Struthio camelus: one gene and its partner. The protein of the gene in region 1 purifies or fractionates together with the protein of each later gene. This does not show direct contact. Links are inferred from orthologs where the notes say so. Each region holds a gene or a part of one and is shown in the gene's direction. Other genes may lie near its edges.

The links. Proteins that work in one complex are often made in the same cells at the same time.
Region 2: the proteins of CASP10 (region 1) and FASLG purify together in Homo sapiens (co-immunoprecipitation; 3 studies listed by BioGRID and IntAct, with this or other methods). This does not show direct contact. The link is inferred for Struthio camelus from reciprocal best matches to the Homo sapiens genes CASP10 and FASLG.

The regions. Positions count from the first base shown.
Region 1 is NC_090947.1:10,377,146-10,387,623, reverse strand, and holds the start of CASP10 (caspase-10), read left to right. Parts: upstream 1-5,712; 5' UTR 5,713-5,963; intron 5,964-6,520; exon of another isoform or gene 6,521-6,623; intron 6,624-8,540; 5' UTR 8,541-8,561; coding exon 8,562-8,875; intron 8,876-9,018; coding exon 9,019-9,118; exon of another isoform or gene 9,119-9,233; coding exon of another isoform or gene 9,234-9,350; intron 9,351-9,709; coding exon 9,710-9,845; intron 9,846-10,478. UniProt on the Homo sapiens protein: Involved in the activation cascade of caspases responsible for apoptosis execution. Recruited to both Fas- and TNFR-1 receptors in a FADD dependent manner. May participate in the granzyme B apoptotic pathways.
Region 2 is NC_090949.1:8,981,736-8,991,930, forward strand, and holds FASLG (tumor necrosis factor ligand superfamily member 6), read left to right. Parts: upstream 1-5,859; 5' UTR 5,860-5,914; coding exon 5,915-6,304; intron 6,305-6,681; coding exon 6,682-6,727; intron 6,728-8,616; coding exon 8,617-8,670; intron 8,671-9,112; coding exon 9,113-9,507; 3' UTR 9,508-9,627; downstream 9,628-10,195. UniProt on the Homo sapiens protein: Cytokine that binds to TNFRSF6/FAS, a receptor that transduces the apoptotic signal into cells. Involved in cytotoxic T-cell-mediated apoptosis, natural killer cell-mediated apoptosis and in T-cell development.

The DNA.
Region 1 (10,478 bases):
GTTGGAAAGTACATGTCTGAAATAGCTAAAAGAAATACTTGCTAAGGTCCAGACACACCTTCATGCAGTTTCACTTTAAGCACTGTTATTACCTGCGTACCTCAAGTGCCTGTTGCTTCTCAACCTGGGGATTTAGAAGTGTTAAGGCACTAGATTTGGTATTTTAATACAAAAGTCTCAGAAAACTTGGATAAGAATGGCAGCTATTGTATAAAACTGCAACAGATCTTGCAACCAAATGCAACAGGTAAACAGTGTGGAAAGAGCTCTAAACTATAGCTGTTGGGTTTTTCAGAGTTCTGTGTTTTTGTTGCTTGTTTTTTAGCATACCTGTTAGCAGTGCACTGATCTCGGCTCTTCTTCTGATGTTTAAAGTGAAGACAAATCTGTGCAAACCACTGATATTCACTCAATACCTTTCCCGGCACCTAATAATGGAGAACTTGTCAGGAGAGAATGCCTTCCCAGCAGCTCTAGTTCTCCTGTAGCAATGGTCTGGCTTGCATGCCTGCATAGACTGTAGCAAAACAAAATGAAGAGAAAAATGGTCTTTAAAATAATTTGAATTCCATCTGCCTGCTGCATTAGAGGTTGTGATTCATCCAGAACCCCCTGTGTCCTCAGTGCTCTCCACAGGACCTAAGGGTTTGCGTGGTTCTAAATCGGGCAGTCTGCCATGTCTTGGACTAATTTTGCTTTCTGCTGGTACAAGAGAGTCTTCATACGGCAGGGCCTTACAGTAATAAAGTTGCACAGTTTAAAAATGTGGTGTTTGGCAGATGTTCTGTGAAAGCTGAAACGTGATTCATACTTGCCACATCAAACAGAGCTATAAAAATACGCTGTTTATCACATTTGAACCTGAATGTCTTTTAGCAACCACTGGCTCTTAAGGCAGGATTACATTCCCCTTCCCTCCCTCCTTTTGCTTATGGAAAAGGGTGTGTCTTCAATTAACTTGTTTTCAGTTGCCTTTGTTCTTCTGGAGAAGACATGAGAGAAAATTGCCTAAAATGTAGCAGTATTTTTTTCAATAAGGCAGATGCCTACCATCAACATTCAGACCTGATTGCTATATAACACTACAACCTGGATGAGTTGTATTGAGATTTACTATTGCTGAATTTACGGCATTCTCCTTCCTAAAATAAGCCACTTGCAAACTTTCAGTATTCTTAATAATTAAGTCTTCTATCTGGGAAGGGACTTCAAGACCTTGGCTTACCTTGCTTGGTTTCTGGTGTAGTTATGCCATGCATCCTTGTGGTGCATATGTATGTCATGCAAGCAAAAAGAAAAGTTTTGTTTGGTGGTGGTGTTTTTTTTGCTAATACAGTGTATGCTAGTTCCTTGAACAAAAAAAAAAAAACTGCAGAAGACTTTTTACTAGTATAGCTGTATTTGATTTGAATAAAAATCACATGTGGTAATCTATATGATTTTGCCAACAATGCTTTTCATTGTCAGCTGGGTCTCGCAGGCAGCTAGTAGTAGTATATTGCTACTAATCATGATGGCATGGCCAATACATTTATTTTGGTAGCAATGACTTTTTTTCCTCAATACCCTGTTGTATTTCCTAGGTGTTAGCTTGACATTATTTTTAATAACCTTTTTTTTGGAAACTACAGTTCTTAAGTTTCATCAGAAAAAACAAGTAACTTTCATAATTGAAACTGATATTCACAATTATTTGGCAAAGAGTAGATATCTATATCTGATAAGCACTCAGGAGTCCTTCCTTGTTATATGGTGCAAGTCCACTCTCTTCCTGACCTAAGAGGTTCCTAAACTGCTGATTGATTGAGGACTGTTAGAGTCTATCAAGAGAAGAAACCCGCTTAACGAGTATTACCTTATATTCTTTTCTTAAGCATCCATAAACAATTGTAAGATCAAAAACATATTTATTTATATTAATATATAATTTTGTATAATACATATACCGAGCCTTTTATATCATTACACTTTAAAAATATTCAAAAAAATCTTCACTCTTGTTATGTCTTTTTTTATTTTGTGTTCAGTTTTATTTGCATGTTAGATATGGAATACATAGTGAAATATGTATTTGTGATAAGAAATTTTTGCACAAGTTAGAAAAATACTTCCCCTATATTATAAGCCTGTGTATAATGTTTTTTTTCTCTCTCTATCCACTTCATAAGCTGGTATATCTTTTTAATAAAAGTATATAGAATTGGGAAAAGCATATAGAATTGGGAAATGTAACCCAAAATTTTATGTAGATCATGGGTACATTAAATCATCAGTACCTGTGTTATTTATGTTGGTGTAATTTTATGTAGGCAAAGGTAATAAGAGGAGAAAATGGTATAAAATCAACTTTTGCAAAATCTAGACATTCTCTAAAAGCTTGTTCCTCTACAAGTGTTAAATTAAAAATACTAAATCCCATTTCATGATGTTACAGGTCTAGAAACAAAGATATCATAGTGGTGGTGTGGGGGAGCTCAGTTCTTCCTCCAGTTGCCTACTTTGTAAGAAAGGGCCTTTTAAATTGGTTCTTTTTATAAACTAGTACCATATTGCTTCCGGCTTTAAAAATATTTTGTATCTTAAATTTGAGTTTGTAAGTACTCCACAGACTCAACTAGAGAACTTGTTGCTTTGCAACACCAGAAAGGTCTGTATCATATGTCATGGATAATAAAAACGGCATTCATTTCTGACCTCTGTTTTTTTCATAAACTGCCCAGCTTGGAATAAAATGCAGCAAGTGTAATTTTGAAACTTTACCTTGCTCATATTCCGTGGGGTGAGAGGAGTATTATAAAACGATGGATTTGGAATCTGAGAAGTTAGTTCCTGTAGTAGCTGGTAAATGAAGCAGATGGTATAAAACAAATACACGCTGTTCTGTGGCTATAGAAATAAGGTGTGTTTCCTAGTTATTGTACAGACGTATGTGATAATAAATATGATTTCACTTCACAAATTAAATTAACTTTTTTCTCCCGTTTCCCTTATTAGCCGTTACGTATGATGAGCACTTCACTGCTTCATAGACACCAAAAGCAGGGAGAATGGAACCAAGAGGAGGCAGAGAGATGAGGGAAAGAAATACTCAAAGTTCAAGCAGGAACGAGAAGGGGAACGATAGGGAGAACCAAGAGAAGAAAAAGTAGGGAAAAGAAGATTTGGAGGAGAAATACAACATCAAAATTGGAAGGAGAAAGAAGAAGACAGGAGAAAAGGGAGGAAGGAAGTAAGAATAATAGTGGATATCCTTACAGGATCCAACTTTTTTTTGAGTGATGCAAAATATAACTATTTACTAAACTATCAGTGATAGGATGTATTCTGTTTCTGATAGTTTTATGACAGCATAAGTTGGAGAGGAGGGTTCAAGAAGCATACATATTCTTCACTTTAGTTTATGGCACTGTCAGTAAAGTCTGTGTCCTATTCCTTAAGAAATGAAGAGGAAACACTTTGAAAAAAAAAAATTGAGGAGATTATTCTACATAATCCTAGCAGTAAAAAGGAAAGGAGTCTCTGTGTCTGGCTGCTTAGATGCAGCAGTGACTGCAGTCCTCTGATGTCCTAAGATTTGTGGGGACATTCCACGCATCTTGCAGCGTTCATGGACGCCAGACACTGAGTTTCTACACTGATGTCTTGGTGCTCAGGAGATTCTTGGCCCAGAGCAGTACTTAGTCTGTAATCATGTAAGTACCAAGCAGTATTAATTGCCTGGATGCCGCCTTCAAGAGTGGCTTATGGGATAGACTCATTCCCTGGACGAAGTGCGTTGTGAAAACCAATGTTGATGAAGTTGGTATTTGCTAACATGCAGGAATTTTGTGATGCCAGAAGTTGTCTGTCACTTCCCCCATAACTTTCTGTGCTCCTGGGTATGTTTGATTGGGATCGTCTGGTTTTGCTTTACTGTGGGCCTGAAATTTGAGCCTGGAAGCTGACTGCATGTAAGGTCTGGATGGCATCAAGCTGTACATGCATTACAGATCAGTTTGTTACTGGTGCAGTGGTTGAATATCAAACTCCCATTCAGTAGCCAAAAGAAAAGGGGGGGGAAAAAAACCCTCCATGATGGATCCAGAATTAAGCCTAAGATGTTAGCACTGGAACATAACAAGCAAAAAAGATAGTGGTGGATTTTCATGGTCGTGGTCTGCCAAAACGTATAGCTTTCTGAACCCGCTGTTGAACAAGAGAAGGAAAGCCACTCTTTTCTGCCCCTGGCTTGTGAGCGCATGGAACGTCCGACTCTGTGGCACAGAACTTCAGTTGCCAGTAACTGTAATAGACATTTCTTGCATTTCTGTTTGCGTCATATATATGGAAGAAGGAAAGGAGAAATGGCAGAATATAGATGGTGCTTTACCACTGGCTCAGAAAAAGCACCTGTGAGGCAGGAGATTGTGGTGTTTGCCAACTTGTGATTCAGGAAAGAAGTTAAATTCAAGAGGATGTTATGGTGCTCACGCTTGCAGGTGCAGCATACTGTGTGTCTGATGCATACACCCTTTCAGCTCTTTAAGAAGTAACAGTGACTGTTACAGATACCTGAATCAGTACCAGCTTTACATGACAGTTTATAAGAATTCTTTTCTGATATGTACAGCTTTAAATTTCTGACGTGCCAGATGCTATTGCTCTGAAAAAGTTGCTGTCTGTGGATGATGTTCTGTAGTCTTGTCTGCTTGCTGTACTTGTGGTTATATTCCTTTTAAACTTTTATTTCCTCTATGGAATTATTGGATAGCTTCTCTCTGTGGCTATATCAAAAAAATCTTTCTTCATCTCCTTTGTTAGAGGGTCAATAAGAGAGTGCCAGTCTTCCAGGAATTTTGTTTTTGTGAATTGTCTCTTTCTGTACATACTCTAGTTTGAAATATGTATTACTCTGACATCATATTTTGTATGTTTAATTTGTAGAAACATAGCATCATAGGAAACATGATTTGAATCAGTGCCATTACTGAAATAGAATCATAGTTAAGCAAAACTGCTTAGTCCTGTTGCTCCTAAATCATAAATGTTGGGGTTTCACCTTATTTTGCCAAGGAAAGCGCCTGCAGTCAGGCTGATTGTCTACATCTCCCTGCCAATCTCAGAGTAACCCTTTACCTTGTTGGCCCATTTATCCTGTAGACATCAGGTGCTTGTTAAATTTGGCTATTGAGTTTCTACAGCTTTGTTTTAAACAAAAACCAAAAACCCAACACCTGACTGAATAAAGGACAGCGAAGCCTTTTAGTTTCAGCAGAGAAGTCTGCTGTTGCATGTGTTGGACAGCTGCTGTTTGGCGGGAGCAAGGAGACTCATCACATCCCGCTGCCCTGAGCTGGAGGGTCGGGGGAGATGATGCTGGTGTTGCTGAAAGCAGCGAGGACCCTGCGCTGTCTTCCCCCCCCCCCCCCCTTACTGCAGCGGGGGTGCTGAGCGGGAGATCTTGCATAAAAACTGTACTTGCAGGCAGTAGCTTCAAGGCTTCTTGTCAGGTGAAGAAACCTCCCCAAAATGTTTGGGTCTCTTTTTGCCGTGTAGCTAGCTTTAGACATGGCTTAAAACCGAGAGAGAAAACAGTTTCTTCCTGCGCTGCTTTTGCTTTGCCGGTTGCTTTTCCCGACTGTGCAGCGGAGCCCCCTGGCGCGGGGGGAGAAGGCTGCCAAGCGCCGGGGCCGGCTGCCCTGCGCGGCCGGGCTCAGCCAGCGGGGCCCCGCCCACGCCCCGGTACCGCCGCTCCAGCGCCGGAGGCGGCCCCCAGGCCCCCTCCCCGGTTCGGCCGTGCCCCCTTCTCCGCCCCCGCCGCTGGGGATGTCGCTTCCCCCCGCACGGCGCCGGGCAGCCAGGCCCGGGCCGTGACTCAGCACCGGTGCTCTTGGGTGCGGCCTCGGCCTCGGGCGGCGCTGAGTGGCAGGCACGGGGGAGCCGCCGAGAGAGGGGACGGGAGCGGGAGCGGATTTATTTGAGAGGTAAGAGGGAGCGAAATGGAGAGGGAACAGAGGAGGGATTCAGCGCTCGAGTCGGGAGCTGAAGCCCCTTCCTTCCTTCCTTCCTTCCTTCCTTCCGGTATCGTGCAGCTGCTGCTGGGAAACTCACCGGCCGGGGGCTGAGGGGCTTGCTTTGGGGCTGAGGGCCGGGCCCCAGCACTCCTCAGGGCCCCGTGGTTTTGCTTTAGTTTTAAACCTTGAAGCTGGGCAGCACCCCAATCAATAACAAGTTAAAGGGAAAAAAAATAATAATTTGATAATCCTCAGTTCTCATTTTATGTGACTTTCCTTCCTGGAGGAATTGGATATTTTGCAAAACACAAATTGGAGACACTGATCCATCATTTTTTTGTGTGTTGACAGTCTGCCTGCTGATCTCCTGGTAGCTGTGTCTGTAAATAAATGAGTGAGCCCTGACAAACTTGGGGAGCAGGGAGGTCCTGCCCCTGCATTAGCACTGGGTGGTTAGCATTTGTCTTTTTTTACAAACTAGTTTTACTGGAAAAGGGAGTGTTTGCTGTTTTTCCTCCTCTGCTTTTAGGAGCCTTTCACCGCAATGTTTTAAAACCTGCCTGTGAAACGCATGAAGTCATAGACTGTTCCAGAAACCCAGTAACAGTAAGGTGAACACTGGATCAGGCTGTAAGTCCGCGGAACCTCCTCTCACAGTAGAGCTAGGAATCAGCAACAGTCCGGTCTGCTCTCAGTACAGGGGGGGAAGGAAGAGAGGTCATGGCTAGTAAACACAGCGCAGATTGGGTGGCCTTGAGGTTATTTGGAACTCAAGCAGGAAGGGTTTTGATGGAAAAGCTTTCCAAAGGTGACTGGAATGCACATTTTAAAACTATTTTAAAGATAGATGAAGGAATTGGTGCTGGATCTTCTTTCGGTTTGATTTCTGGTGAAATGAGTACTTACGCTTGACCTACGCACAGCTTTTCCCTGTTCCTCTAAAGCTATGATTTTTAAACTAGTTTAGTTGAAGTCATTGTCTCCAAACTCTGAATAGACACAAATGCAGTTTGAATCTGGTGTATATAGGCTTGTTAGACAGGAATCAACTTAAGCTAAATTATTCTGCTAAATTTAGTTGACTAAAGCATCTAGATAGGGTTTGAAACTAGTTTAGCTAAATTGATTTAAAGCCTGATTTAATGTGAAGTGATACGATTTCTCTGCGTAGATAGATGACTGAGATCTGAGCCTTTTTGATAGCAGCGTGTTTCTTCAGTGAATAAGGTGTCACAATACGCAGGATTTCATTTGAGGAGAGAAACAATGTGAGTTACGGAATTAGTAAGCTATGGGAGAGTAAGCTTGAATACAGGCAAAAACAATACGACCTTTTTTTCTTGCACAGTCTCTGACTTGTGACACAGGGCCAATACAGAATTCAGGATTCCTGGGTTCTGTCAAACCTGTTGTTGAAATATGAAATGGTGCTTGTATCCTTCACTGGGTTTCAGGAGTTGGGATAATATTTCTTATGTGCCCTTGAACACAAAACTGCCACAGTGTCTTCCTTGTGCTCCCCACATGCTATGATAACCTTTGTGGTTTATCTGCTGACCAGTCTTCCCACATGCTTCAAAGGCTTTGGATTCAGAGTTTCTGTCCATACCCCTACTTCTCTGGGTTTTTTTTTCTGCTGCTCCTTCATGCAGAGAGCTTTGCTACTTCCAGCTGCACTTAATGGAGGGTTAAGGACCTCCCTGACTCTTTGGGCAGAGAACTTCAGAAGCACTTTCTTACCAATCAAAACAAGTTTCCCTATGTAACCTCACTCCAGCAGAAAAGACCTGCCTAAGCTACCTGGAGGAAGTTGGTTTAGCAGAAGCGTGATTAGTTTCTGTTACGCTTCAATAACGTTGAGTTGCTTGTACAGAGTCCTTTTAGATTGATTTCTTATCACGTTTTATTAGACACTCTCATAAGGGAGGTCTTAGGCTTTTCTTGTGCGAAATGCAAGACGCAATCTGGTGGCAGGGTATGACTGTGAGTGGATGGTTATTTACAGTTTCAGCTTGGATATCAGACTTGAAACAGAGGAGCGCCTGCCTGCTGCAGCCAAAAATCAGCAGAGTCCTCAGACTGCAGATCAAGGAACATGTGTGATTTTACCACTGCCCCCTCTCCACTAAGAGCTATAATAGAGTTACTGCAGGGACTCTTTGCAGCCACAGACAATGTAGAGGAACAAAGCTGCAGTTGTGAGGCAGAAGGTAGTTGGGAACTCCTTCCTCTGAACATGAAAGTTGATGGAAGGATATAGAGGAATTTAGGTTGGAAGAAGGAACCTCTTGAGGTCATCTAACTCCGCTTTCTGCTCAAAGCAGGGCTAACTTCAAGGGTAGACTGGGTTGTTCAGAGCTTCTGCCAAATCTACTCTCTGATGCATTTGTTTGCTTGGAGAAGGAAGTACATTTCAAATGGATTCAAAAAGAAATTGCTCTTCTGCAGAGTATTCAGGGCTTCCAAATAGGTGTTGGATGAAATCCTTATTTCAAGGATTCTTGTACTGAAGACTACAGTGTTACAATGTTTGCTTTCTGCTTTCAGGCAGAGAGCATCCCCAGCAACATGGGGGATGATATCAGCTTGAAATTCCGTCAGCAGCTTCTACTCATTGAAGAAAACCTGGGTACCGAAGATGTAGCAGCTTTAAAATTTCTCTGCATTGACCTGATCCCCTTCAAAAAATTGGAAAGTGTGCAGTCAGCACTGGACATCTTTCAGTTTCTTATGGCTGAAGAGTATCTGAGTGAGGAGGATACTTTCCTACTAGCTGAGCTCTTATACAGAATTAAATGTCACTTCTTGCTCAAAAAACTTGGCTATACCAAGGAGAGAGTGCAAGAATATCTGCCTGAGAAGGGAAGAGTGTCTTCATACAGGTGAGCTTCCAATGGGATTCTGTTAGCTGCATTGCTGCCATCTGTTGCCTGCTATTTCCCTTTCAGTTTTTAAATTCTCAGATTGCGTTGTGTTTCTACACCCTCTTCTGTTCTACTTTGATCTCACTGGGTCTCTGTTACAGGCAGATGCTGTATGAATTGGCAGAGAACGTTACCAGCGAGATGTTAAAGGAAATCATATTCCTCCTGAGGAACCAGCTACCAAAGCGACAGACAACTATTGTATGTAGGGAGAGAGACAAACGTATATATAGTATGGAGGGAAGATGGGGGCACGGAAGAGCACGGAGAAGAGAATCTTTGCCAGAATAAGGCGTAATTGCAACTAGGCTGATGGATGTTTTATAGAGTTAGCAAGGAGGAAGCTGATGGCAGGATTAGAGTGGAACTTGGTTCAGCTTTGTGCCAAGGACAGTCGTGGATGGTCTACTCTCTTGCATTAGACCACAACAAGGTGACATATCAATCTTTTTTTTTTTTTTTTCCTGCTTGAGCCATGAACAGAGGACATTTATGCCCATATGTCGTTGGTACTGTTTCACAGCGATAAAGCCTTCTCAGGGCCAGAATTCATTAATGTAGTTTGGGTAAATCTGTTGAAGCAAGAACATACCAAGTTGTAATTCAGTCAGTAGCTTTCCATGGTGCAACATTTCCCCTGTCACCTGGCTATGTAAAATTGACTGTTCGGAACTTGTTGGCAAGAAGCAAAGCAGATGATAATGTAATTATATGAGGCAGAGAGGGTCGAGACCCGTGGTTTTAAGTTCTAAGAAACAATAAGTGCATTTTACTCTCTCTTTTTTCTGTCAGTCTGCTCTGGAGTTGCTGATTTTATTGGAAAAACAGGGTCTTTTAACTGAAAATAATGTACAAGTGCTGGAGGAACTCTGTATGAGTGTTTCACCTGATCTCTTGGAAGCAATAAGCAGCTATAAAAGGGAAAAAGGTGAGAAATTCAGAGTCAGAGCACAGGTTTGCTAAGAGGCAGGAAGCTCTGGAAGGGTCTGGGCAACTGAAGCTGGCACCTGGACATCCTATGTGTGCACTGCTGCAGCAGAAACTAGAGTGGGATCACTCAGCACCTTCACACACAGGTTTAGCATAGCTGTCTTTAGCTTGCATTGCCTCCTAGCTGAGTTCCAGTAAGGACGTGCTACTATACTGCAAAAGGTACTTTCTAATTTACAGAGGTACACTACTGTATTTTAAGTTGCTCAAGGGAGTTGTGTTTGCTAATGAGTTGGTAAGGCAAGGTATGTGTGCATGTGTATCTGATACATGGATAAGTTTTTATTAATTAAGTGGTTCAGGTTGTAGGGGGTTAGCCTGTAGTTTGTGAACTTATTCCATGTAAAGTCCTGTAGAGTAATTATAAACATACTGGGAAAAGGTTCTAGTTTCATTTATTTAATCACTGGGAAATAAATTCAGGGAAGTGCAAAGCTACTTCTCTCCAGTGGGTGCAAGGTCACTCAGTGCTTTATGAGTTCAGTTCCCCACACTTCCTGAGCATGTTTCAAAGTGGCTTTCTTTTTTAATGCATCTCTCTCTAAGTGTAGATCCACGTTTGCCTTCATGT
Region 2 (10,195 bases), on another chromosome or scaffold:
TGTTAAGCACTGTCTTGCCAGACCTGGGCCTTTAGAAATGGATTTAAGTCTGCTCTAGAGTATGAATACAGGAATGACTCCCTCATGAGCTGCTGATGCAGAACTGTGTCTCTATATGTGCCTCAAATGTTTCAAGGAGTGGTAGTTGAGGAAATGAAAAGCATCACCCTTGCCTGGGCAAACTGAAGTGTTACAAAACATAATAAAGAAACAACACTAGGATGTCAGTGCTCACCGCAACATTGCGTAGAGCTGTGGGGGTGCTGCATGTCGCTGGGCCACAAACAGCATTGGGCCTCTAAGCTTTGAGTTTCTACTACTGCTTTCCCCAGGGGCTCCCCCCGAGCAGGAGCTGGGCAGAGAGAAGAGCAGAGAGCATGATGAGTGTCTTCCTATCCAAATTCTATGGGGGAGCTGGTGGGTAGCCCTGTAGGGCTGTTGCAGGACCCTTGAGCCTAACACAGCTTGTTTATGTCCCACGTGTGCTGTAAAATCCAACGGATGTTTTTCCCTGGAGTTCAGGCAGCACAGGACTGATGGGCCCTTTGGTCAGGGTTCCCGTGCTGTGTGGCGCAGTGAGCTCCTGGCAGTGCTGGGTGAGTTCTGGTGTAGCTTGAAGCCTTTCACCCTCCTTGAAGGCCTCAATCAGTGGAGCTATAGTTGGAGGCAGTTTTTTCCCCAAGAGTCTGTTTAAGCATTCAGTCAAACATCCTTGTCTTGCTTTTAGCATAAACTTCAGCTTTACCTTCCAGTTAGCAGTTTTCTGGGAAGGCTTTATTCGTGAGATTGAAGAGCCATCTGCTGTTGGAAATCTTGTCCCTTTTTATGTGTTTTCACATGTTGTCCATCCCTCTTAAACTTCTCTTGAGTTAACCAGACTGAGTGCCTTTGCTCTGAGGCAGTTTTTTAGCTTCTTCCTGAGCCCCTCTGAAGTTGAATAGGATCTCGCAATGTGGGTTCTGCAACTGTCTGCGTCTTCCTGTTTGTCAGGCTCGTGCTTTGCGAGCTTACGCTCTGGGGATCCCGCACCCTTTCCCCGTGGGAAGCCAACGTGCGATTGGGCAGCCTCTGTATCAATTTCAGAACGATTTTTCCTGCGTTGTTGTTTTCTCCTACAGGGTTTGATCTGCAGTGTTCTAGACTGTTTGTTTTTGACCAAAGTCTCTGTCCTCACGATTACCAGCTATTTTAATCTGCAAATATTACTTGTGTAGCATTTTGTTTTCTTTCACTTTTTCCCAGGTCAGTGCTAAAGATGTTCAAATGGTGTCGTGTGGAGGACAATCCCCAGGGGAAATTCGGAAGCTTTGCCCTATATGGTGCTCTCAGTTATTTTTTCCAATGTAACCATTAGTGAGTGTTAATAGGTTGCATCTGTTCTGCAGCTTTAGCTGATATTTACTGTTTGCCAAAACCCATTGCCTCTTTTGACTCTGCTTGCAGGTTTTAGCCTGGGACAAGAAAAGGTTGATCAGGCTGTAATTTCTTGAGTTAATGCCGTGAAATGAACACAGCGTTGCCTTTTAAGCCTGTCTTTTTGACAGAAAATGCTTCTTCATTCGTTCTAGGGTGTAATTTATGCAGCACTATAGACTTTCAGTAGTTGTTTTCTAGCGTTTCTGCTAGTCACTATTGTAATGGGATATTTGTTGACACGTTTTTCTTCGTCCAGAACCCGATGAGAGTCTCCCTCTTACACTTAGCTTTTTAAATTACTATTTTCTATTTATTTTTTGGTAATTATTAGATCCAGATCATTGTTTAAGTTCCATTTTCCTTGCTACGCATCAGGAATAATTCCATCCTGTTGTCCTTAAACCTGCTGGATACAAACTTTTAGCTGTATTTCTTAGACACTGGCTGGTTCTCATCGCTGTCAGAATCTAGGTTTTGCTAATACTGAGTACTATTAATAAGAGCTCTCATCTTTCCTGGGGGTGGGGGGGTGGTCTTTTGAGCAAATCCTCCTTTTGTGTCTGCGTAGCTGTGGCTTACCTTCCGTTGTTTGTTTGTTTGTGGGCAAAGGAGATTCTCTGGTAAAGAGCACATGAAGTGTTTCCATTTGAAAATGCTTCCTCCTGTTCAAATGAGGGAGTATGGCTGCAGAAGACAGGGTGGGCCTCCTACAAACTGTGCAAAGAGAAAGATAGGGAGGCAGAAAGCCGTATCTGACTCCCATCTTGTCCCTTTGTGTCCGTCCTTTTTTCCTGCTCTTGGCCTTTTAGTGAAAGAGACTCATGTGACTCAGGTGTCTATGTTCAGCAAATTGTCCTGCTATTATTTCAAAAGCCCTGTTTATTAATACCATGTGGCATGTGAGCAACAGGAAGCCAGCAGAGCGCAGAGCCTGTAGGCATCATGACATCCTGCCCAGAAGCAGCCCTCCTTACTGCTCTTTTCCAGGATGTATCATCTCGGTGGTCTCTGAAGGTGGTCGTAAAGGAATCGGAGAGTGTGACAACAGAATCAGCATGGCAGGGTGTGCTGGGAAAGCAGAGGTCTCTGAAAACATGCTGGGCACCAAAAATCACCCTTTGATGGTAAAATAAGCCAAGCTTTGGTTTGCCGCAACATGCGGTATTAGCAGGCTCTTGATCTGAACATCCGAAGATGCAGCATGGCTGAAATGCTTTTCATTGACTTTGTTGTCTCTGCCCTGTCATCCGCTCATAGAAAAGCGTCTCAGTGAAAAAAGGAAGCAGTGGGTGACAAATAAGTACATTTGTGACATTTAAGAGAGGCTCCTAATGTGCCCGCAATCCCACCAAGATGAGCTGTCTGCATTGAATATAGACAGCATCAGAAAAATCCTGAGAGTGGATCCTCTCTGGGCCAGGCTGCGTGCTTGGTGGCTTTTGGCCATCCCTCCAGCTCTATATAATTGTGTGGGGCCATCCAGCCCCATCCTTCAGGGCAGGACAGGTGTGTAATTTTGAGAGCTGTTGATGAGATATGTGCCATATAGCAAGGGTGAAATCTGCTTGTCTGGACAGCCAAAGTGAGGTACCTATGCAGAGCTGACTGTCCCAGGGCCCACGTGTAGGATCTAGAGCTGGGAAGAGCTCTGTAAGGTCGTAGTCCTTAGCTCCTGCCTCTTGCACCCAGTTCCTGTATAAACGCTCCGTTGGTCTCTGTCACAGCTCTGACTCCTAGTCACGGTACTGATCATAAAATTGAAAACTAAATGTGTGGATGGCTGTACAAAGTCCAGGCAGCAGCACTGGCATGGCTTACTTTGAGTTTTTGAGGGTCAGTCAGTCCCTGAACCAGCACCCCAAAAGTACAGGGGAGCTCCCTTGCTCTGTTCTGTGCTCTTCAGACAGTCTCCTTCCCTCCTTAGTAATTGGATGTTGCCTGTGTTGCCGGAGGAGGCTCTTTCCAACAGCCGAGCGCTCTGATGTCCTCTGTTATGCCGTAGATGTCAAGCCTTTTCTTTAAAAAGCGGTGAGAGGAAGTAAGTTTTGGAGCTGATGTGCTTGTTCCCTCTTCTCTGAGCTAGTCAAAGCTGGAAGCCCACCTTGTAGGGGGACCTGGCTTCTGGGCCCACCTCAGGCAGGGGTCTCACCCTGATGGGGAAGAACCCCAAATACATGGCTGGAGGAGAGGCAGGGGTAACCCTATCTGAAGAGAGGGTTTGGGGCCCAAGGAAGTCCCAGGCTTTGGTTCCTGCTCCCCAGCCCATCCGTGTATTTTACAGCAGCTGAAGGGGATACAGAGGGCTGTAGAAGAAATGGGGACTCCCTGCCCTGCTCAGCGTCCATGTTGCAAAGAGCCACAGGTGTGCTGCACTCACTGCTCTGAGTGAGGCAGTGCTGGTGCTGACCGCTGGGACTGTGTTGAGCAAAAAGCCTGAGTGGGTGGTGCATCCCCTGCGTGTGGCTCAGGTGCTGCATAGGCAGTGTGGGGAGCATGTTGATGGGAGACACTTGCCCAAGCAGCCTGCTGTTTCTCTCAGCTCCTGGCTAGAGGTTGTGCTCGCTCGCTCTCTCCAGCACTGGCTAACAGGGTGGACCAAACTCCACATCGGGTGCAGGAGGTGAGGAGCTGAGCCCAGCCCTTTGTGTGACCCAAAGGGTAATCCCACTTTTGTAATGATCCCACTAGCAGGTGACTTTGCCTGGCTAGTAGGCACCATTTCAGATGCAGAGAGGAGAATTGCATGTTGAGGGGAGGTGTGACCAGGCTTGAACTGCTGGAGCTGGATTCATGTTGCTTTTGTGTCTTTTATGTCAGAAACCTAGAGGTATAAGGAGGAAGGAGGACCCGCATAAGTTTCTGAAATCTCTCACGCTGCAGATCACTGCTTCAGCAAGCAGCTGTGGTGAATAGCTTCAAAACACAGTGGGGTGGCTGGTGGTGCAGGCAAGGCTTTGAGGACACATCAGAGTGTTATCGGTGTGGTTGGAGGTAGAGCTGAGCCCTTGCTCTGGAGAAGCTTGCATGCAGCTTTTGGTAAAGCATGCTGTCCTGAGATTCCAGTTTTTGATGTTCAAGATAAAAACCCGTGTGTTGGGGCTGCTTTGCTTGGCCACGTAGGAGACAAAACTCCAGTTTCCTCTTGCGTTAGGCAATTGCTTTTTTAAACATTGCCCCTATGCAAACACATACGCTGCCGTGCAGGCCTGTGAAATGGAAGAACAGATTGCTGCGGACAGTGTTTTTTGTGTGCCTGTAAATTGGTGGGACGATCTCATTGCCATCACTTAGAAATCTGTGGCCACTGAAGCCTTACATTGAAGGATGGAAACATTCCTGTCCCTGTCCTTCCTCATTATGATTTTGTAATGAGCCTTCATCTGAGTGCTGGTCCTTGAAGCATAGCTTAAACTCTGGATCCTTTCTAGGAAGGCAGAGAAATTCTACTGAGAGATGAGTAGCGCAGTGTCTATTCTAGGCTTTAATCATGAGATATACAGACTGGTTAGGTCCTGCTGCAGTTCTCAGCATTGTCCTAAAAAGAAAAAAAAAAACCAACCTTCCCAGCTCCAATGCTTGTTCAGTTCAGAACAGGACTGTGTGTTTAGTGATACTGTTTGCAGAAGTAAACAGGGAAGCAGAAGCTGCCAGAAGAAGCCTGATTTTGCTCTGACACGATGTGTGTTTCCTGCGTTACAGCCCACTGCTTGTTCAGCTTGGTCAGTGCCATGCAGTGATTTGGTGTGGGTGCAGACAGCCCACTGAGCCGGCTGTGCTTGGGCTGTCAATCCTGGGGCAGCTCTGCTGAGGCTGCAGCACTGACGTTGCCTTCCTCTTTTTCGTTACGTTGGTTTATTATACCACAGCATCTGTGACCAGGGCTCTGCTGTGTCAGGGATTATACAAAACTGTACACACAATCCCTGCCCTAGGGAGCAGGCAAAGGAAAGGTGGGATGTGCAACAGACTGCCCTAAGTAATTTGTCCTGCGCAAAATGAACTAATTCCCCAGTGCCCACAGTGACACTTGGGATCAGATCTTTATCCTTCCAAGGAGAAGCGTCCTCAGCTCTGCCTCCTCCCTCTTAGGCAGGCGGCCAGAAGCAGGACAGGCTTTGTTGTTCCCCTCTGCTCTTGGTCCTGGGCACCACAGGGCGAGTGGGCTGCGGAGAGCGGGCTGCTGGAAAGGGTCGTTGGCTGGCGTGCGTGCTGGGCTGATTGCTTAGCCCCTGGCTGGCAGCGCAGCACTCTCATGCCCTGCCAGTGCTTTACTACTCAGTGCACCCGTTCCTGAGCCTAGCCTTTGGGCACAGTTTTGTAGGAGAGCAGCCTGCCACTGGGTTTGTCCTGGTGTGTGTGCGTGCTGCCTCAGTGTGGGAGGAGCAGGCAGGCAACCCTGAACTTGCAGCTGAGGGCGGAAGCTCTTTGAGGTTTGCTGCTGATGCTTGAGGCTTTCATAGAGGCACAGCATCTGAGCTGGGTGTTCACTGCTGGAGCGATGAAGGCGTATAAAGGCAGAGGTGGGTCTTCCCCCAGGACTCAGTCTGGGTCAGCCCTGGCAGCTTTTGGCTGCCACATGGAAGATCACGCACAGCACGTCCAGCCCATCCCTCTCCCAGCCATGCAGCAGAACCTGAACTACCTGTACCCTCAGATCTTCTGGGTGGATGGCTGTACCAATCCCAGCACTTCCTGTCCTCCAACACCCCCCGTTGCCCCCTTCCCACCACCAGTACCTGATCGGAGGACAAAGCCAAGGGGCAATAGGGAAGGGAAGAACGTCGGCTTCCTGGTGGTCTCCTTGCTGATCCTGCTGTCTCTCACTGGAGTTGGACTGAGCATGTTTCAGATTTTTCGCCTGGAGAAGGAACTGGCTGAACTCAGAGAGGTAAAGTCTGTTTGGCTTGTCATAGAGGCTCTGGGGGGAAAAAAAAGAAAGGACAAAAACCGAAAAATGCATCTGAGGTGCTCAGGGGGTGCAGAACTCTCCATGGGGCAGACATTTGAATGTCTGCTCTCCTAGTGTGAGTAGGGTTGTTTTACATGGTAGAGGACTGCTCTGTTGGTGGCTATGATATGCCTGGATGTCTCTGTGTTTCTAAGTGCCGCAGGGTCTCTGTCCCTGTACATAGTGTTTCTTACCACTCCGCAGTTCTCCTTGAGTGTCCAGAACTAGTCACTGTCAAAGAGAGTCCTTGGCTGTTCCAGGTAATGCCGTTATGCTCTTCCCATGCTAAGAGACTTTGTCATCTTTTCTTTTGACAGTCTGCCAGCACTGAACGCATCCCTCCAGCTCTGGAAAAGCTCATAGGTGAGTTGATGTAGGTAGAGGAGCTCCCTCTTTGTAGCTTCTCTGAAATCTCCCATTTCACTCTTCCCTCCCCATGTCGGCGGGGGGGGGCAAAGGCAGGATTGCAGCTCTGATGTTCTGAAAGTGCTGATTTCACTCCTTTGGTTGGAATGAGAAATGTATCTCCAGAATGCGGGTAGGGCTCCCATACCCTGCCTGTTGGGAGGAAAACTGCCCTGGTATCACCCGTGGGTATGGGGACAATCTGCCCCCAGGCTGGACCTCCCAGTCCCCAATGGGGCGATGGTACTAGAGGGGCTCTAGAGTAAGTGAGTTTCTAGCTGCCCTAATATACAGCAACAATATGGATAGAAGAAGGAGAACAGAGATCCCAGACAGGCATCATTCGTGTTACTTCTTTGTTTCCTTACTTGTCAAGATTTTGGGAGGATGCGGAGGGTTTCATTTTCTTTGGGGGTGGACCATTCACTTCCTCCCTTGAGAGGACAACTTATATTTTCCTAAATTCTTTTGGTACAAAGTCTCACTGCAGCCAAAGCTAATTGAGAAAAGCCTGATGATATATATATATATATTTTTTTTTTTTTCTTTTAGAAATGTCTTTTCAGTGAAATTGAAACTTTCCACAAGAACCTGCCAATTTTTCTGAAATTTCATTTAGGAAAAAAAAGTAGAGTTTCTATTAGAATGGAACAATATTAAAATTATACTTGAAACTTTCAGACTTTTTTTTTTACTTTTACATAGCACGATAATGTTATCAGTGATAATATCCCTTTGCAAAGAAGGTTAAAGCAGAAAGAATTGTTCAGTTTTTTTGATAGATCTGAAAATATATTTTTTTCTTGAGGATTTGTTTAGTAGGAGAGTTCATTTCTTTTCAACTCTGTTCTGATACAGAATGAAAGTGAAGTTGGAAACAGCATAACTCCCTGGAAAGGGCAGCTCCTGTTTCAATTAACTTTGTAATCTGTTGCTTAGCTCTCCTTCCTCTGTCATTTTAACCAGCTCCTCAGTGCTCTGATCACAGGCTATTTTAGCAGCACCTGAATGTGAGGCATAAATACTAACCCCAAAATTCTTGAAGGTAGTAAATAAATAAAGCCAGGGAAATAGTGTAACAGAGAAGGCAGAGAGGAAAATGGAATTTGCCTGGCATGAGAAAAGAAGAGGCTTCTTTTAAAATCTGGGAACCTAGTGCTTGGAAGTGGGTGCTGAATGGAGGGGAAGGACAGGGTGGCATGGGCTCCAAGCACCCACCTGTTTTCACTGTCACTGGCCTCTCTCTCCAAGGGGACACAAGCCCTCTGCAGGAGGCCAGGATTTCCTAGCTATGTTCTGCCTCTCACAGGGTAAGGTCTGCACGGCCAGCAGGATGGTTTGCAGGCAGTCTCAAGTATTTTTTCTGGTCTAGTTGTAAGGAGGGTTGGCACTAAGCAGCTACCTGTCTGCTGTCACAGGGACGTGTGCCCCTGGCAGTGCTGGACTGGAAGAGGGCAGTAAAGCAGGCTCATCTTTGGCAGGACATGAGCAGTCACCTTGGCATGGGCCAGAGATGCCAGTTAATGGGGCAGGACAGCCCTCTCCTGCACCTTGAGGGAGACACCTCTGCTTGAGCTTATTGACTGAGCCATTTTCAATGAAAGCTGTCCTTGCTCTTTTGTTCTTCCCCTTGCTTTTGATTAATCTGGATCCTTTGCTGCAGTGCTTCCTTGCTGTGAAGCCTTTGCTTGAGCACCAATCTGCCTTGCTGCACCAGGCCGTGTTGCCCATGCACCTTGTGCTGCCCTGAAGCTGCCCCATTTCAGCATCACAGAGGGCTCCCTTCTGGTCTCTGGGCTGGCTTCTCCATGGAGCATGTGGTTAAAGTCTTCTCCGTTTTCATGTAGGGGAGAAGAGCGCGTCAGCGAAAAAGGAAGAGAGGAAGGCAGCACACTTAACAGGTATGTGCTGAGGGGTCAGCGAGAAGGGAGAGCGGGACAGGGCAGATGTGGCTGGGGCAGAAGGGCAGCCTGGTTAGAGCTGCGAGGATCCTGCTTCATGTAGGCCTTCTCAGTTTCCTTTGGTAACATGCATGCCCTGAGAGTTCAATGTCACTCCCGCAGCTAAAATCTTCTCCTTCATTTAGGCTTTTCAGTGAGGGCTCTGGTTTTTGGTTTGGTTTTTGTTTTGCCTTGGGGGTTTGCGGGACCAAAAACTTTGAGAAGTGACTGGTGTTGAACAAGCAGCCGGCGAGAGCTCCTACATCTGTGAGGCCTGGGGCAGATGTCCCATGCTGAAAAGAGCATGTGGGGAAGAGGTGACTTGTCTTGACGCTGGCTGTGACTTGAGAAAACCAGAAAATGCCTGTCCTTCTCACACTGCCACTCTGGTTTTGGCTTCCAGGGAACCCGACGCAGCAGGACCTCCCTTTGGAGTGGGAACCGATCTCTGGGCATGCCTTCACCGCCGGCATTCAGTACCGCAATCGGGGCTTGGTGATCAATGAAACTGGCCTCTACTTCGTATACTCCAACGTGCTCTTCCGAGGAAGCACCTGCAACAGCCAGGTGTTAACCCACATTGTCTACAAGAAAAACCCAACCTCCCCGGGCAGCCAGGTGTTGATGGAGGACAAAAAGATCAATTACTGCGCAAATCAGAAGATGTGGGCCCGGAAAAGCTACCTGGGGGCTCTGTTCAAGCTCAGAGAAATGGACAGTCTGCACGTCAATGTTTCCAAAATCACTCTGGTTAATTTTGAGGAATCCAAGACATTTTTTGGCTTATTTAAGCTCTAAACAGTGCTGTCGGAGTCCGGCTGGCAGCCCCGCACACACTAGGACGCGCGAGGGTGGGCTGAGCAGCAGCCGCCAACCTCCTCGAGTGGGCAAGCTGGAGTCCTGCACCCAGGAAGCCCACCAAGAAACCATGTGTTGGCCTTTGGCGTGAGAGGGCGTGAGAGAACAAGTAAGGCTCTCCGGGGTTGGACACCTGGGCTCTGGGAAGCACCTGGTTTGTCCTGGGGCAACCTGAATAAACAGCATGTTTCCCCTCACCCCGAAAAACCCAGGATGTGCCAAAGACCTCCTTGACATTCACTACTTGCTGCAGAAGAGATTTTGCTATGTGAGAAGATGACGGTGCTGGTGTGGCACCTGGAGGGAGACTCTGGGCCAGCGGGTACGCGTGGGGGCCGGCCGGAGGCAGAGAAGGGCCTCTAGGGTGAGCGCGCGGGGGCCGCAGTGCCGAGGAGTCTCCTCCGGCTTGGCGCCTGGAGATGGCTGCCCCGCCTGTGCTGCCCGGGCCTGCCGCACTTTCGCTCTGCCGTCCTGCAGGCGCCCCCCCGCTACTAGCTGGCTCGTGAAGCGTGGTAGGTTCATTTTGTGTTAAGTTATCGACCATTCTCAACCCAGAAAACGTGTTCCCCCCCTTCCCCCTCTCCCCCACCCCTTATTTAACTCGCCCCCACGGCTTCGTGCTGAGGAA